Schizosaccharomyces pombe: one gene and its partners. The protein of the gene in region 2 binds, or shares a complex with, the protein of the main gene of each other region. Each region holds a gene or a part of one and is shown on either strand. Other genes may lie near its edges. A codon is read from its position in the direction of its gene.

Region 1 (3,768 bases), on a different chromosome or scaffold from region 2:
ACCAAAGGAGTCCTAAATCTATATTTCTACTAAACTTTAAGCATTAGATAAACATCCTAATTGTCTTGAAAATTTAGGACCAAATAGATGTTTCAAATAAGTATAGTGTTTTTGATCGATATACTTGATTCTTAAAAACGAGATAAATTTGTAACGCGCTTTCACGCGTAATTTGCAAATTTTATATTCAAGAATTGTGGTTATTTGTCATTTTAAATAATATTTTCTCATAGAAGACCTGTGCTAGTTCTCAGTCTTATACCAAGCTGGTTCTTATACATGTACAATTAAAAATACTAAAATGGTCAACGATTTTAATGAAAAAAATGGCATTAAGAAAAGACTTCTAGATTTCTTCCCAGTCGTTCTCGAAGGAATTCGTGAAATCTTAGAAAGCATGCAATACTTCCCCGAAGAAACCGAGAAGCTGTTATATGTAAGTTGATTATCTTGCCTTTATAACGCGACAGCTAACCTTCATTTAGTCCATAAAGAGAAATACGTTAGGAGGAAAGAATAATCGAGGACTGGCAGTTTTGCAATCTTTAACAAGCCTTATTAATCGAGAACTTGAAGAAGCAGAATTTCGCGACGCTGCTCTCCTAGGTTGGCTAATTGAAATTGTAAGTAAACTGGTTTTTTAATTCAGATTTGTTTACGTAAAATCACTGGGGTACTGACGGATGTTCAGTTGCAAGGTTGCTTTTTAATGGCAGATGATATTATGGATCAGTCTATCAAACGACGTGGTTTAGATTGTTGGTATTTGGTAGTTGGTGTACGAAGGGCAATTAATGAGTCACAATTACTAGAAGCATGTATTCCACTTTTAATTCGAAAGTATTTCAGAAATATGCCATACTATGTCGATTTATTGGATACTTTCCGAGAGGTATGTTACAATAAATTCAACTAAAAAGCTTACTTTCAAGGTTACTTTTCTCACCGAGTTGGGGCAACAAGAAGATTTGCTTTCATCACGAGACGGAGAAGCCTCGTTACGATCTTTTGATTTAATGAAATATGACTTTATTATCACTTATAAAACATCATTTTATTCCTTTTACCTTCCTATTAAATGTGCTTTATTGTTGTCTCGCAATTCGAATCAAAAGGCGTATGATACGACTATAAAGCTTTCAAAACTTCTTGGTTATTATTTCCAAGTCCAAGATGACTACTTAGATTGTTTCGGTGATTACACGGTTTTGGGTAAAGTGGGAATGGACATACAAGACAATAAATGCACATGGCTAGTTTGTTATGCTGAAAAATTTGCCTCTGCGGATCAGCTGAATCTTCTTCGTGCTCATTATGGAAAAGCAGGGTCTGAAAACATAGCTGTAATAAAGCAGCTTTATCATGAGCTTCAAATACCTGAATTATATCACAAATTTGAAGATGACATGGTGGATTCTATATCCAAAGAAATTGATTTGATTGATGAATCTACTGGATTGAAAAAGTGTATATTTACTAAGTTTTTTCAGCTCATTTACAAAAGGTCACGGTAGCAGTCATTTCATTTTAAATAACCGTTATTATCTTCTTCCTTATTTAAAATTTATTATTTGATGACCTTCCAAATTCTTTATGATACTGATCGACGATTTGTATTTAGGGTTATTCTTAAGGTTTCATATCATTATAGCATTTATGGTTTTTTTCATTATTGTTAAAGATCTGCATTCAGAATTTACTTTTTTAATGATTATCTGGTTGATACATTACTCTACTTGGGAAACTAAGCAAGATTTAGATTATGTAGATGTAAACATTTGGTGAGTAGTATAATAATAACATCAAATGACATTGACGATCGTTGTTAATTGGATTGGTTATGAAAGAATTATTATATTGCTCATTTGAGAAAATGCAAAAACTGTCACTGAAAAAAACATACAGCACATTTTAATAGACATTCCAAGGTTAGTCCTTTTTGTTATAACAGTATTTTACTTAAATTGAACAATTAATCGTTACTTATTTAAGATCTTGAAACACTAGTTCGTGGATGGGAGAAATATTCAATAGAACCAGGCTGCTGCTTCAGCTTCTGACCACTCCATCATAGCAACAATTCTACGCGAAAGCGCTCCGAACCTAACATTTTTAATTGATAACATAAGGAAACTGTTTGCCTTATTAAATAATTGGGAAAGAAAATCCTATTTGAAACTATGGGGTTCGGGAAGAAAAAGGTTTCTTATTTCTATGATGGTACGTGTAAACTAGTAAGATCCTAGCTAATTTTTGAAATAGAGGATGTTGGAAATTATCACTATGGTCCTCAGCATCCAATGAAGCCTCATCGCGTTCGCATGGTATGATATAAAGCTATAACTATTTATCATCATTAACCTACTTAGGTTCATAATCTGGTCGTTAATTACAACTTGTATGAGAAGTTGAACGTTATTGTAAGTTCTATTTCTCCTTTTTATACTAATAAAGTATACAAGACACCTGTTAGAGCAACAAGGAATGACATGACTCGTTGTCATACCGATGAGTATATTGAATTTCTTTGGAGAGTTACACCTGACACGATGGAAAAATTTCAACCGCATCAGCTGAAATGTAAGATTTCATTTCGATTATTTATAAATAACCGTGATTTTAGTTAACGTCGGTGATGATTGTCCTGTTTTTGAGTATGTGCGTTTATCAAATTTTTTATACTAACAATTGTTTAGTGGGCTGTACGAATTTTGTTCAATTTCTGCTGGCGGTTCAATTGGTAAGATAAAAGTTTTTCCCAAAAAAGGGGCTTTGAAGCATCCGCTGAATTTGTGAATGGAGTATAGGACTTTAACTAACATTGGTTTAGGTGCTGCTCAAGAACTTAACTCGGGAAACGCAGAAATTGCTATTAAGTATGTTATTGAGGATTTTTTAGTACTTTGAAGATCAACTAACCACTTAATTAAGTTGGGCTGGAGGCCTACATCACGCTAAAAAACGTGAAGCTTCTGGTTTCTGCTATGTTAATGATATCGCGTTGGCTGCTTTAGAATTGCTGAAATATCATCAACGTGTTCTTTACATTGATATTGATGTTCACCACGGAGACGGTGTAGAAGAATTTTTCTACACTACGGATCGCGTTATGACTTGTTCATTCCACAAATTCGGTGAATATTTTCCAGGAACCGGTCATATCAAGGTATGCATGCGGCTTTATATTTGGATTTACTTTTCTAATATTTTAGGACACCGGAATTGGAACAGGAAAAAACTATGCTGTTAACGTTCCTTTGAGAGATGGTATTGACGATGAATCTTATGAAAGCGTATTTAAGCCTGTAAGTCTTTTTTATAAATTTCTTTGTTCTAACAATCTGAATTAGGTTATAAGTCACATAATGCAATGGTTTCGACCGGAAGCTGTTATTTTACAATGTGGAACAGATTCTCTCGCTGGTGATCGACTAGGCTGCTTCAATCTGTCAATGAAGGGTAAGTAACTACTGTTTCTCGTTTTTACTAATTCCCCTCAACAGGACATTCAATGTGCGTTGATTTTGTTAAGAGCTTTAATTTGCCAATGATATGCGTTGGAGGAGGTGGATATACTGTACGGAATGTTGCCCGTGTCTGGACTTATGAAACTGGTCTTTTAGCCGGCGAAGAGCTTGATGAAAGTAAGTACCAATACGTAAATTGTTTATTAACCCATCCAAGACCTTCCTTATAATGACTATTTACAATATTACGGTCCCGATTACAAGCTCAATGTTCTTTCAAACAATATGGAAAACCATAACA
Region 2 (6,762 bases):
GTGTATTTCATTAGATCAATTTGCTGAACAGATCTGCATTGATTATGATATTCCACTGCATAATGTACATATTGTTCAAAATATTTCAAAGAGTATTCAAGCTCAAATAAATGACTATGAGCCGCGTAAGGCTCAGTCTAATTTAAGTTTTGTTTCAGATGTTAGTTCGTCTACCTCAGAGACTGTTTATGCGCACGAACCGTCAGATTCGTTGGCTAAAGCTTCCAAGCAACAAATTCCAACTGTACAAAACGATTTGAGGATATTGATCAAGCTTGATATTACCATTGGTCGGCTGAATCTTATTGACCAATTTGAATGGAATTTGTTTGCTCCTGAAAGCAGCGCTGAGGAATTTGCTACTGTGATGTGCTTAGATCTAGGATTGTCAGGAGAATTTTGTACAGCTGTAGCTCACTCAATTCGTGAGCAGTGCCAAATGTACATAAAATATTTAAGCCTTATAGGATATTTGTTTGACGGAAGTGAAATCGAAGACGAGGAAGTTCGCTCTTACATTTTACCTCCTCTTAAAAACACACTACGGTTCTCTGACATGGAATCCTCCTCCTTTGCCCCAATGATTTACGAGCTAAACGATGCTGAAATGGAACGGCAGGATAGAGGTTATGATAGGGAAGCACGTCGTATGCGGCGTAGACAAGGAAGGGCAAAACACGGGATTATGTTACCAGATCTTCGGGACATTCCTAAAATACATCGAAGTCTCTTCCCCAGTTCATCGGTCCCCTCGGATGATGACTTTATGCATGCTTTAAGTTTATCTACAAATTCTGATGGCGAGACACTTAACGAAATTAATACTAATAATCCTGAAAGAGAACATTTAATTGTGCGTCTAAAAGTTGACTCTCAGAAACTAAAAATAATCGTTGAACAATCACAAACCTTAACCCTCAATAACTTCCAACAACGGAAACTCACTCCCTTGCCCAATTCCATGAGTTTTGACTCACTAAACGAATTTGAAAGTGAAAGGAACACACCTTCTACATATGGGCAAAATATTTCGCCATTACCACAATTTTCGTCTCCTAGCCTTTCTTCTGACGCGTTTCTTACTAACAGCAATTCTTCTGAATCCGCTTTGGTTCATATGCAAAAGTTAAATTTACCTGATTTTACCCCTTCCTGGGTTAAACGATGTGTTATAGAGACATTTGCAAAATTTCCGAATGATCGATTTAATGTTATCGTAAAACCTGCTTTAAATCCTGCTGAAAGGATGACTGTGAGAATATGTTGTCATGATTGCATTAATGAGTATTTTACAGCCGGCCCAGGATTCACGTTTGGCAATTTCCATATCCACTTGTTGTCAAGCTCGCATCAACAAAAAAAGGAGGTGAGAATGAATACGGTTTTGGATAGAAATACTTAATACAATTTTGGAAGAATCTTTATCAAAGACCATAATCAAGATTTGACTCACGTTATGGATAGCTCGACGGACCAGTTTCTTTCAGTTGATAGCTTCTGTTACAAATGAGGCACTCTATCCTCAATACGATTAATTTATTAAATTTGAGGAAATACACTGTATATTATTCAAAGGCTTATTAATCCTTAATGTTCAGTCATGTGGCTAAATTTAAAGTATGTACGGGTAACCGATGAATCAAATTACTTTACAGCCTTCATTTCAGTTTTTGGAAATTATAATATTTTTGATATTTAAACAAAATAACTAACAAATCTTTCTTTTCGGTTTATAGCAGTCTTTCCTTGTTTCTCGTTAAATTCATCTTTGCTAGCATAAATCTTCATTGTATGTTCACACTACACGACGTCCACGTTTTCATCAATGGATGCAAAACCATGGAATCATACATCAGAAGCCTTTCAAGCTTCTATTTTGGAAGATCTTAAAATTATTCAAAAAGCCGGTGCTGAAAGGAATGCAAAGAGTTCGCATGGGTCAATAAATTCCAGGAGCGCTTCACCGAATAAAGCGACCTCGAGAAGAAATAGGGCCCAAAACGGCAACTCTAATGGTAGAGCCTCAGTTGATAACTCTGACGATGGAAGCAAGGATGATTTAGATTATTCTCCTTCTGTTAAGAGAAAGCATGTGAATGGTGAAGGTGCAGAAAAAGGTGATCATGATACATCTAACAACGGACCTAGTATTACTAAGTTAAGAAGAAAAGTTAGGAGAACCTATGATACTAAGGATGGATTTGTGGCTTGGAATACATTGGATGATGACTTTCGTCCTATAGTACCCGATCAAGAGAGATCACGAAAAATCAACCCCCAGAAAGGAAATAATAATAATCTCCTTAAAGAGAATAAGTCTCTAAAAACAACGGCTAAAGACTTATCTGATATCTCTAGTTCATCGATGAAGAAAGCGAATAACTCTTCCAAACCTCTTTTTTCTGGGAAGCTAACTTTCAAGGCTAACATTCCTGTTCCTACCTCTGAGGTCGTAACGGAGAATAATGTTACACGAAATGTTACCGTGTATTCCAACCAAAAACATTTAGGTAATGAATCAGAGAATTTTAACGACATGGAGGGCCGGGCCGAAGACATTAGTAGCAATGAATTACTTCCTACCCCTGAAGAATATCCATACAGATATAACAATGATTACTGCTCCGCATGTCATGGTCCAGGCAATTTTTTGTGTTGTGAAACATGCCCGAATAGTTTTCATTTTACTTGTATAGATCCGCCTATCGAAGAAAAAAATTTACCAGATGACGCTTGGTATTGCAATGAATGTAAACACCATAGCTTGTACAATGAATTGGATGAGCAAGAAGAATTGGAAAGTAATGTCAAAGAAGAAGGAACGATGGTTGATGTGTGGATGCAACTTTGTACATATATTGATTCTCACAATCCTATTCAGTTTCATCTTCCTCATTCAATTAGCAGCTTTTTTAGAGGTGTCGGAAGTGGAGTGATGGGTGAATATATCGAGACGGATGTTTTGAAGCATCTTAAATCTAGCCGAAGAAGCAATGGAGAAGAACGTGATCCTTTGCTTTTGAAGAGTAAAAGTGGTACTCCCATTTTATGTTTTCGTTGTCATAAATCGGCTCTGGTCTCTCAGAGTATACTAGCTTGCGATTATTGTAACTCCTACTGGCATCCCGATTGTTTAAATCCTCCACTCGCAACTTTGCCTTCGAATCTCCGGAAGTGGAAATGTCCTAACCATAGCGATCATGTCACGCCTCGGTATAGGTTACCTGAAAAAGCAAAGGTTATTCGTGTCGGTTTACCTCGTGGTTTCAAAAATAAAGGAAATATAGTTATTGATGAAAATGAGGATGAACCATCTGTGCAAACAATACAACTACAGGGAAAAATACGTGTGGTACCTAGTAAACCGTTTAAGTTGAACTTTTTAGAACAAATACGTGATAACGTTATTAATTTACGTAAAATGGTTGAGCAGGATGAACAACTATGTATTGAAACCTTTTCCAAATTTGACTTTTATGCAACCCGTGATTGTGAATTGCCTTTGCGAATCCTTTGCGATGTTGCCAATGACAACTTAGAAAATGATGATTATGTTTTGGCTTTAAGGGATCTTTTGAGAATTTCTAAATGGGATCCTAATCAACCCGTTCCTGCACCTTTTGATTTGGCTAACTTATTAAGCTATTGAAAGATAGCATAGCACCTCGATTCTTTCAAGTGCGGTGTCTTCGACGTTGAAATGTCTTAATATTTATGCCTATCTAACCATGAATGATACGATTTCATATATGAATGGTTTTATTTTTTTTCTTTATTTTTGGTATTGCGAAGGTGCTTCCAATTAGTGAATTGTGATCGAAGTGTGGTATTCAAAAAGTCTCCTTGGGAAAGGTGCAGGCATTTTTCCTTAATTGTAAATTTAATTAAGTTGTATATGCAATTATGCTGTGCAACAAATACTTTAACTTATAGTTGAACTGCAAAATTAAGAAAAGTTACGTTACAAAATGGAGTACAGAAATAAGCCAAATTTTATCACGTTTAATTATTCTTATTTGAATGCTTTAACGTGTAGTATTTTTGTATATTGAATTATTAGTTTCACCGTAGAACTGTTGATACAACTAAAGAATTCTTTGGGATAAGTTGAATTACAAGCAAATGATTGCGATAAACTGGATAGAATGCAAAGCGATTTGCAATAGTACTTAAACAATAGCACAGAAATAATAAAGAAACTGTATGATAGTGTAATTTCAAAAGTAGTTTGCTTACGTATTATTAACATTTTTTTTATTCCTTTTAATGTGTCATTATTAGCACATAAGGAAAAGTTGCATTGCTCTAAAATAAAATTACCTTAAAACATGTCGGTTTCATCATCATGTCTATCATTGCTTTGTAACTTAGTAGATGCTTTATTGTGCCTTTAGCTTGTTTTTATTTTCCATATTAGTTTGTTCTAAGAATTGGGTAACCTCGAAATTTATTACAAGGTCAATTAATAGGCAATACGTTTTTTGTTCCCTTAGTTGTAATTGTTCAAAATGAAGATTCTTGCAAGCAGTACAAATTATGTACTACATAATCGCTTGTCCAATTCACAATATGAAGATGCGCGATCAAAAATTGTAAATTTTGGAGGAGAATTCACAAACGATGCAGCAAAAGCGGATTACATTTTTGTCAATTACAGTCAAATTAACAGAGTTCGGCGAGAGCTAAGAACAATTGGAACACCGTTAGAGACGTGTGTATCGTGTAAGTTGATTGTTAAAATTGACTGGCTTAACGAGCCTAAAGAATCTTTAACGCCCGGGAATCCATATGTGATATGGCATCGAAAACCAGAGATGAAAGTTGGCTCGCCGTACACACCTTCAACAAGACCTGCTTCGCACACTGAAGCACCAAACGATTTTGAAAACCACGAAACTCCAAACACAGAAAATAATAACGAAGTTAAAAGCATTGACAATGTTGATCAAGAAGGATCAGTTTATCCGACTACGAAAGAATACCCTTACGTTCTTGAAATTCCACGGTATGCGTGCCAGAGAAAGACACCGCTTAAATGTGTCAATCAAGCCTTTGTGAATGCTTTAAGTGTCTTGAAAACATGCAGAGAAGTAAACGGTGAATCAGTAAGGACTAGGGCATACGGAATGGCGATTGCAACCATTAAAGCTTTTCCCTTGCCTATCGATAGCGCAGAACAATTAGAGAAAATGCCCGGTTGTGGGCCCAAAATAGTACATCTTTGGAAAGAGTTTGCATCAACGGGAACCTTAAAAGAAGCTGAGGAATTTCAGAAGGATCCGGCTTCAAAAATTTTGCTTTTATTTTACAATATTTTCGGAGTTGGTGCTTCTCATGCTGCTGAATGGTACCAAAAGGGTTGGCGTACGATTGAACAAGTTAGGAAGCACAAAGATTCATTTACCAAACAAATAAAAGTTGGTCTGGAGTTTTATGAAGATTTTTGTAAAACTGTAACCATTGAGGAAGCCACGGAGATTTATGAAACTATTGTCTCACGGATGCCGGATGGAATTAAAATTCAGTCTTGTCTAGTAGGTGGATTTCGTCGGGGAAAGCCTGTTGGAGCGGACGTTGATATGGTGTTGAGTCCATCACATACTCATTCTACAAAACATCTGGTGGATGTTCTCTTAAGAATTTTAGACGAGGAATTTCAATTCCGACTAATTTCTGTTCAGGAACATTCTTGCGGAGGAAAGAAAGGTTATGTAATGCTAGCAGTCATTTTGTCAAATTCTTCTAAAATCAATAGGCGTGTTGATATTATAGTAGTGCCGCCTGCATACATAGGCTCTGCCGTATTAGGATGGAGTGGAGGAATATTTTTTCTTCGCGATTTGAAGCTTTATGCTAACTCTCATTTGGGTCTAAGCTATGATTCGTTCGAAATCATAAATCTTAAAACAGGAAAAGACATATGTCCCGACGAATTTAATGAGTGGAAGGATCCCGTGGAAGCTGAAAAAGACATTTTTAGATATTTCTCCCTAGAGTATATTGAACCAAAGTTTCGTAACACGGGATAGTAAATACCTATCTTGACCTTAAGATCGCCACATTACTAACTCGCGATTTCGAAAATTGTTTTACGAAGCTTCTTTTAATTTATGTTTCTTTGCTACCCGACACTTTTAGTAGATTTTTTGCTAAAAACTTGAAATGTTTACACATTTTTCCAATCGGTCTATTAGGAAACGAAATCCTTGGAACAGAAATGAGACATCAAACAAGTAAATTTATCAGAAATCTCGAATTTAAAGAGAGGGAAAATTGAGGTCTAACAGTTTGGTATACAATGAAGCTCTATGCGAATGCTGTGTTTACAAAATATGGATTTTTTTTAAAGACGAATAACGATTTTTAACGTCATGGCGTTAAAATGACAATTTTACTCATCTTAGGGCACGTGACTGGAGTGGGTTAAAAATAATAAAAAGTTGTGGCTGCAACTTTTGTTTTTTACCAAACACCTTACCTTGACACATACCTTTGGAAAACCATCACCAAAGGACTTTCATGTTTGAGACATCGTTTAAAATACAAAACTGTGCATTTAATCAACGTTCAAGGACTGGCCATCTGAAATAAAAGGAACATTTTAAAGATAATACGGATTTTTTATCGAAAGAGTGACTTGTTATGATATTTCAAATTTTAGAATAAGTCACAAGCACTAAGCGCTTTTTAAAGACATAAAGTAGAGCAAATTTTTTTATATTACCTAAAAAAATCATCGAGACTGTAATAACAATGGCAACC
Region 3 (6,860 bases), 1.6 Mb from region 2:
TTCAATTTTACTGTTTACTTTTTGTATAATTATAGCAAAATTAATATAGCTCAATTTTTGCCTGGGCAATTAACTGCGGTACATTACTCAAATGTACTCGTAACAAGAAAGGTTTTGGATTATTCAGTGCCGTTTGAAGAACCGATGCAGTCAGTCATCACATAGGTGTCTCATCCGAAGCCTCGTAGTTCTGGGAAGGATTAGACGCATTACCTAAAAAACGGTACAAGGGGGATTGTACAAGTAGATAGTGCAGCGAATTTGTAAATATCTAATCACTTGTAACCAGCCAAAAAGTAGATAACGCAGCATACGTAGTAAATATCGAGACACATGCTTACTTCAATCTTACACTAACTGGTGATTTTTAGATATGGTGGAGACCATGAGTTATTGATAAATGAACTATTTATTTGTCATTTGAGAATGAAAAGAAGGAAATATAATGAACAGGATGATTGAGAATGTTCTTATTCTTTTTGTTTTATTAATAATCATGTATATATATATATATATATATAAAAATTTTTTTAAAAGAAAACCCTCTGACATCAGGCTTTCATTCAAAACATTAACAATGCTGCTATGTTGACAGTATAATTATGAAAAGCTCTTCAACATCACTAGATTTTCCTTTTAGAAAGAGTTTTATTTTCGAAGCATTTCTTTTTTGTATGCATTCACTCATAATATTAAAATTACTTGATATATTTAGCTTATTACTAGCGAAATCTGGGGAGAGAGAATGCTCGTTTATGAACGAAGATCATAAAACATTGTAAGTTTTGAGAACAAACCACTGCTATAAACAACAAATAGAAAGACCTTTTTAATATATTTTATGGCGTTTAATCAAATTATTAAGCAAACCCAGTAATAGCTAAAAATAGTTGAAACATCTAGGATCATTTTCAATTCCTTATTTATTTACTTCTAAACAGCCGTTCGGCCAAGTTTCTGTGAGCTACAAGAAATGATGGTATCTTTCAATAAACAATGATTGGCGTTGCATAAAGCAAGCGTATGAATGGAATATTGAGCTATTAAAAATAATATAAATATGCAATTTCAAACGTTTTCGGCTTTTAAAAGTGGAACGTGGCACATTTAATCAACGTAAATCATTTTTTTTTTACCTATAGAAGTTTACCCAAAAATTGATACCAAGTATTAGCTTTATTAACTAATTACTTTTGGTAAAGCGGTAGAACCTATTCGACGAAATATCAATCAAATTACCAAGTACGATCTTGTCGCTCACTCATTACCCAAAAAATCATAGAAAGGACGATCCAAATATGTGTGCATATTGCTTATAATTAACTCGTTTATTACTGCGATACTCTGTAATTCGTTGTATCTGATTACGAATAATAATAGTCACTTTTACGATATCAATTATTATCAGATAAATATTTTCGATCGCAAAATTTGATCTTCTAACTATTTTGACTAATTTGTGCGTTTATTCTTAACACCGAATTGAAAGAAAATTTCAAAAGGTAGTCTTTGTTAGTTCCTTTTGTGGTAAACGCGATTAGTGGCCAGTCACTTACAAAACTTTGTTAAAGCAGACTAATAGTAGTCAACGTGTGATTTTATTTTTTCTTCACCGCTTACTTCTCAAAAGCCTCCTTTTTAATTTACTATCAAAAACGGCAGTTTTGGCAGTTTTTTGAAGGTTTATTGGTTTAATTAATTTATTCTGTAAAAACAAGGAAAGCAAAATTACAGATATTTGATTCTTTAGATTTTCTTAAACCCTCTCGCATCTTCGTCTTATTTTGGCTTTTTTTTTTGTTAAATATAGCAAGTTTGCGCCTCTTTTATTTAAATTCATTTTTAAAAAGCCACCTTTCATTCTAAATTTACCTTATTCCTTTTTCTCCCTGTGAAATTCAACCCTTACCATTTTTTTGAAATTGGTGACTTTTCGTTTTCAAACTATGTTCGACCTCGCAAGACAAACTCGGATTATCCTTTTATTAGGTATTGATGTTACTTTTTTCTTCATCGAAATTATTACTGGTTATGCGATCGATTCACTTGCCCTAATTGCTGATTCATTTCATATGTTAAATGACATTGTCAGTTTACTGGTCGCTCTCTGGGCTACTCGTCTAGCACATTCAACATCTCACGAACCAAAATACACATATGGCTGGCAACGTGCAGAGATTTTAGGTGCTTTGTCGAACGGTGTATTTCTCATTGCCCTTTGCATGTTCATTTTTATGGAAGCCATAGAGCGCTTCATTGAGCCTCCTTCTGTCAGCAATCCCACCCTTATGTTCTTTGTTGGTTCTTTAGGTCTGCTAAGCAATTTCGTTGGTATCTTTTTATTTCATGACCATGGTCATGATCATCCTCACACCCATACCGCTCAAAATTACGATTTTCCTGAAGAAGATGATATTGAATCCGTTTTACCTTCGACTATCGTTCATCGTTGTAATACCAGTCAACAAGAAGTCAGCCATACACACACTCAAGTCGCAGACTCTGCTACCGAATCTTCTCCTTTATTGAGTTACACTGGTAATCATAATGGTGCTGGTACTTCAAAGCCAGTCAACAACCATGGCAGTATTGAACAAGATGCACCAAAACAAACGAAGAAACGAAATTTGAATATGCATGGTGTCTTTCTTCATGTCTTGGGTGATGCTCTCGGTAATATTGGTGTTATTAGTGCTGCTTTATTCATCAAGTATACTGACTATTCTTGGCGTTTCCTCTTTGACCCATGCATTAGTATCCTTCTTACTTTCATTATTCTTTTTAGCGCAATTCCTCTCTGTAAATCCGCTGCTCTCATCTTATTACAAGTTGCTCCTCAAAGCATCAAACTGGATGATGTTTCCAACCTAATTAATCATCTAGACGGCGTGGAATCTGTTCATGAACTCCACATCTGGCAGCTTTCGGACGTTAAATTAATTGCCACTGTTCATGTCTGCGTTACACTTCCTGATGATAAGGGAGAGTCTTATACAAAGCTTACTACGGATATCCGTAATGTCCTTCAATCTTTTGGTATATATGATGTTACCATTCAACCAGAATTCGCCAATCATCCGCTTTTATGTGACCAAGGTTCCTCGTCTTAGTTTGCGAACATTATAAATTTAACGTGGTTAATCTATTGTGTCACATCTTTTGATTTATTCTTGAGGTAAAATTTTATATTGAATGTTTACTTTGTTTCATTTTTAAAGCGTAATTTCTTCTGCCATTCCTGTTCGTATTTAAAAACTTTATTTCACCATCTTGGTTGTTTGTTTTGCGAATGCACTTAAGTAAAGTAGTCGACAACTTAACTTTGAAAGTAGATAGTTTTCGATTTCTTATTCTTGATGAAGACGATGCATAGTTTCGGTTTTATTAAATCTCTATTATTCTTAGAAAATAATGTTTAGATGTAGTGTTTAATTATTTAAAAGGAATATTTTTTAACAATTATATTGGGTTTGATTCTTCTCGTTAGTATTTTTTCTAAAGTATTCGTTGTAAGTGTAAAACACCATCCAATGTGGTATTTGTGTTCATGTCTTGATAAATCATTTGAACTTTGGCTATCAGCGTCAGTTCATGTAATGCGTTGACGAGTTTGTGCGCTTAGTTGCATTTGCCGTTTCCCAAATCATCACCTCCAAAATAAACGAGATCGTATTCCTAGTCATTTGATGGTTAAAGATCAAAATACATGGAACAAACACTAGCGATATTAAAAAATGGTACGTATCAATTTAATACATAACTCATTTTAACCAATGTTGTTAGACAACTCAACGTTAGTGGCCGAGATGCAGAATCAATTAGTCCATGATTTTTCCCCTAATGGTACCGCACTCCCCGAGCTTGATATAAAGGCATTCGTTCAAAAGTTGGGTCAAAGACTGTGTCATCGTCCTTATGTTTATAGCGCTTTCATGGATGTTGTGAAGGCTTTACACAATGAAATGTATATATGGCTTATTTACTGAGTTGCTTTGAGATAGCTCTTTTTTTATTACTATTCACTTATTAACATGAACATTAGTGTCGATTTTCCCGGGTTTATTGAAAGAATATCTGTAATCTTAAGAGATTACCCAGATCTTTTAGAATATTTGAACATCTTTTTGCCCTCGTCTTATAAATACCTTTTATCGAATAGCGGTGCCAACTTCACATTGCAATTTACCACCCCATCTGGTCCAGTTTCTACACCGTCTACTTATGTAGCTACTTACAACGACTTACCTTGTACCTATCATAGAGCTATAGGATTTGTTTCACGAGTTCGACGAGCATTATTGAGCAATCCCGAACAGTTCTTTAAATTACAGGATAGTCTTCGTAAGTTTAAAAACTCTGAGTGTTCGCTTTCTGAGCTTCAGACTATTGTAACGTCTTTGCTAGCGGAGCATCCATCTTTAGCCCACGAGTTTCACAACTTTTTACCAAGCTCCATCTTTTTTGGGAGTAAACCTCCTCTAGGATCGTTTCCATTAAGAGGAATTCAGAGTTCCCAATTTACGTTGAGTAATATTTCTGATTTGCTTAGTCAATCAAGGCCGGACAACCTCTCACCATTTTCACATTTATCAAATGAGAGCAGTGACTTTTTCAAAAATGTGAAAAATGTACTTACCGATGTAGAAACTTACCACGAATTTTTAAAACTCCTGAATTTGTACGTTCAAGGGATAATTGATAGAAATATTCTGGTGAGTCGTGGGTTTGGGTTTCTTAAATCGAATTCGGGACTTTGGAGAAGCTTTTTAAGCCTTACTAGTTTGAGTCCGGAAGAGTTTTTATCTGTATACAATTCCGCTTGCTCAGACTTCCCGGAATGTGGCCCGAGTTACCGATTGCTTCCTGTCGAAGAACGCAATATTTCTTGCAGCGGTAGAGATGATTTTGCATGGGGTATACTTAATGATGACTGGGTCAGTCATCCAACTTGGGCATCTGAAGAAAGCGGTTTCATTGTTCAGAGGAAAACGCCTTATGAAGAGGCAATGACAAAGTTGGAAGAGGAACGTTATGAATTTGATCGGCATATTGAAGCTACTTCCTGGACAATCAAGTCTCTTAAAAAAATTCAGAACCGTATAAATGAATTGCCGGAAGAGGAAAGAGAAACATATACTCTCGAGGAAGGGCTAGGTTTACCATCAAAAAGTATATACAAGAAAACTATTAAGCTTGTTTATACCAGTGAGCATGCAGAGGAAATGTTTAAGGCCTTGGAAAGAATGCCTTGCCTCACATTACCATTGGTAATCAGCAGATTAGAAGAAAAAAACGAAGAGTGGAAGTCTGTTAAAAGAAGTCTTCAACCTGGATGGCGAAGTATTGAGTTTAAAAATTACGATAAGAGCTTAGATTCACAATGCGTTTATTTTAAGGCAAGAGATAAGAAGAATGTATCTTCAAAGTTTCTCTTAGCAGAAGCCGACATTCTACGATCGCAAGCGAAGCTCCATTTTCCTTTGCGAAGTAGATCAGCTTTCGAATTTTCTTTTGTATATGACAACGAAATAGTACTTTTTGATACTTGTTATATGGTATGCACATACATTGTATGTAACTCTCCCTCTGGTTTAAAGAAAGTTGAGCATTTTTTCAAGAATATATTGCCTTTACATTTTGGTCTTGAAAAGGATAAATTTTCGATATTCCTGGATCAAGTTTTTCGTGGTCCTGATTACGATGTGAATGCCCCGAATATAGTTGGTAACAAGCCTGTACGTCGGAAAAGATCTAATTCTATAACCCAGTTGACGGAATTTGTAAAACAACCTAAAATCAATGGTCAACGCGAAAGTCGTTCAGCTGCAGCTGCTCGCAAAAAAGAAGAATCCGGTAACAAATCACAATCTAACTCTCAAAACTCTTTAAGTGATGAATCTGGAAACGTAACGCCGGTTTCTAAGAAACAGCTTTCACAACCTGCTGCAGCCATTAAAGCCAGTCTCAAATATCCAAGTCATCCAGATAGTCTTTTGGAACATCAAGATCATGCTGGTGATACGGAGAATGAAATGCATGACGACGTCGATAAAGAACAGTTTGGATATTCTTCTATGTACGTATTTTTTAGACTTTTTAACTTATTATACGAAAGGCTTTATGAGCTTCAGCGTTTGGAGGATCAAGTGTCCATTATCCAACAGCGTATAATACCAAACCCAGTATCTCAAAAACAAAAGATTTGGCGCGATAGGTGGAATGATCTTTCAGATGTCCCTGATGAAAAAACTCATTACGAAAATACTTATGTGATGATTCTTCGATTAATATATGGGATAGTTGATCAAAGTGCCTTCGAGGACTATCTGCGGTTTTATTATGGCAATAAAGCCTATAAAATATATACTATTGATAAACTCGTTTGGTCTGCTGCTAAACAAGTCCACCACATCGTTTCCGATGGAAAATACAAATTCGTTACTAGTTTAGTCGAACAAAATAGTTCTGCTTCGCCTAAGAAGAATTATGATGACTTTCTTTATCGCTTGGAAATTGAAAAGCTTTTGAATCCTGATGAAATTTTGTTTCGATTTTGTTGGATAAACAAATTTAAATCATTTGGAATCAAAATAATGAAGCGAGCGAATCTTATTGTGGATCAAAGTTTGGATACACAGAGACGAGTTTGGAAAAAATATGTTCAAAATTATCGTATACAAAAACTTACTGAAGAAATATCTTATAAAAATTATCGTTGTCCCTTTCTTTGCAGAAATATAGAGAAAGAAAGAACAGTTGAGCAATTGGTTTCACGCCTTCAAACAAAGTTATTAAGATCTGCAGAATTGGTTTCCGGATTGCAAGCAAAATTATGTTTAGACTCGTTTAAATTGCTCTAC

Evidence for each region.
Region 1: the proteins of cph2 (region 2) and clr6 are in contact, whole or in part, in a cryo-EM structure (PDB 8I02), measured with the Schizosaccharomyces pombe proteins. Residues at the interface, in NP_592978.1 of Schizosaccharomyces pombe: Ser419 (codon at 3,080), Gln420 (codon at 3,083), Pro434 (codon at 3,125), Asp435 (codon at 3,128), Asn438 (codon at 3,137), Pro440 (codon at 3,143), Leu441 (codon at 3,146), Ala442 (codon at 3,149), Thr443 (codon at 3,152), Arg581 (codon at 3,566), Asp582 (codon at 3,569), Leu583 (codon at 3,572), Arg585 (codon at 3,578), Ile586 (codon at 3,581), Ser587 (codon at 3,584), Lys588 (codon at 3,587), Leu604, Leu605; in NP_595333.1 of Schizosaccharomyces pombe: Arg166 (codon at 3,035), Asp188 (codon at 3,101), Phe198 (codon at 3,131), Gly199 (codon at 3,134), Lys209 (codon at 3,164), Arg226 (codon at 3,261), Gln247 (codon at 3,369), Trp248 (codon at 3,372), Phe249 (codon at 3,375), Arg250 (codon at 3,378), Asn349 (codon at 3,759), His350 (codon at 3,762), Thr352 (codon at 3,768), Gln354, Tyr355, Ser358, Ile359, Glu362, Leu370, Ser371, Ala373, Pro374.
Region 3: the proteins of cph2 (region 2) and pst2 are in contact, whole or in part, in a cryo-EM structure (PDB 8IFG), measured with the Schizosaccharomyces pombe proteins. Residues at the interface, in NP_592978.1 of Schizosaccharomyces pombe: Leu397 (codon at 3,014), Leu399 (codon at 3,020), Lys400 (codon at 3,023), Pro406 (codon at 3,041), Ile407 (codon at 3,044), Leu408 (codon at 3,047), Phe410 (codon at 3,053), Arg411 (codon at 3,056), Cys412 (codon at 3,059), His413 (codon at 3,062), Lys414 (codon at 3,065), Ser415 (codon at 3,068), Leu417 (codon at 3,074), Val418 (codon at 3,077), Ser419 (codon at 3,080), His433 (codon at 3,122), Asp435 (codon at 3,128), Cys436 (codon at 3,131), Asn438 (codon at 3,137), Pro439 (codon at 3,140), Pro454 (codon at 3,185), Asn455 (codon at 3,188), His456 (codon at 3,191), Ser457 (codon at 3,194), His459 (codon at 3,200), Val460 (codon at 3,203), Thr461 (codon at 3,206), Pro462 (codon at 3,209), Phe481 (codon at 3,266), Lys482 (codon at 3,269); in NP_593646.1 of Schizosaccharomyces pombe: Glu36 (codon at 3,858), Ile39 (codon at 3,867), Lys40 (codon at 3,870), Val43 (codon at 3,879), Gln44 (codon at 3,882), Gly47 (codon at 3,891), Gln48 (codon at 3,894), Tyr55 (codon at 3,915), Tyr57 (codon at 3,921), Phe60 (codon at 3,930), Met61 (codon at 3,933), Val64 (codon at 3,942), Lys65 (codon at 3,945), Leu67 (codon at 3,951), His68 (codon at 3,954), Glu70 (codon at 3,960), Asp73 (codon at 4,047), Phe74 (codon at 4,050), Pro75 (codon at 4,053), Phe77 (codon at 4,059), Asn96 (codon at 4,116), Ile97 (codon at 4,119), Phe98 (codon at 4,122), Leu99 (codon at 4,125), Leu138 (codon at 4,242), Pro139 (codon at 4,245), Thr141 (codon at 4,251), Tyr142 (codon at 4,254), His143 (codon at 4,257), Ala145 (codon at 4,263).

The regions. Positions count from the first base shown.
Region 1 is NC_003423.3:849,771-853,538, reverse strand, and holds the start of clr6 (class 1 histone deacetylase Clr6), read left to right. Parts: upstream 1-2,062; 5' UTR 2,063-2,180; coding exon 2,181-2,220; exon of another isoform or gene 2,221-2,262; coding exon 2,263-2,324; exon of another isoform or gene 2,325-2,369; coding exon 2,370-2,420; exon of another isoform or gene 2,421-2,462; coding exon 2,463-2,580; exon of another isoform or gene 2,581-2,623; coding exon 2,624-2,654; exon of another isoform or gene 2,655-2,696; coding exon 2,697-2,740; exon of another isoform or gene 2,741-2,830; coding exon 2,831-2,876; exon of another isoform or gene 2,877-2,931; coding exon 2,932-3,166; exon of another isoform or gene 3,167-3,212; coding exon 3,213-3,305; exon of another isoform or gene 3,306-3,350; coding exon 3,351-3,459; exon of another isoform or gene 3,460-3,503; coding exon 3,504-3,644; exon of another isoform or gene 3,645-3,684; coding exon 3,685-3,768. Other genes in the region: spo9 (ER farnesyl pyrophosphate synthetase Erg20), read left to right, coding at 302-436, 486-623, 692-892, 933-1,514. UniProt on the Schizosaccharomyces pombe protein: Responsible for the deacetylation of lysine residues on the N-terminal part of the core histones (H2A, H2B, H3 and H4).
Region 2 is NC_003424.3:541,304-548,065, reverse strand, and holds cph2 (Clr6 histone deacetylase-associated PHD protein-2 Cph2), read left to right. Parts: upstream 1-1,806; 5' UTR 1,807-1,825; coding exon 1,826-3,649; 3' UTR 3,650-3,939; downstream 3,940-6,762. Other genes in the region: SWI/SNF complex subunit Snf5, read left to right, coding at 1-1,402; pol4 (DNA polymerase X family), read left to right, coding at 4,509-6,029; translation initiation factor Tif5, read left to right, coding at 6,754-6,762.
Region 3 is NC_003424.3:2,156,866-2,163,725, forward strand, and holds the start of pst2 (Clr6 histone deacetylase complex subunit Pst2), read left to right. Parts: upstream 1-3,620; 5' UTR 3,621-3,706; coding exon 3,707-3,737; exon of another isoform or gene 3,738-3,783; coding exon 3,784-3,964; exon of another isoform or gene 3,965-4,042; coding exon 4,043-6,860. Other genes in the region: ER zinc importer, CDF family, Zhf1, read left to right, coding at 1,947-3,110. UniProt on the Schizosaccharomyces pombe protein: Has a role in chromatin assembly and chromosome segregation. Involved in the deacetylation of histones.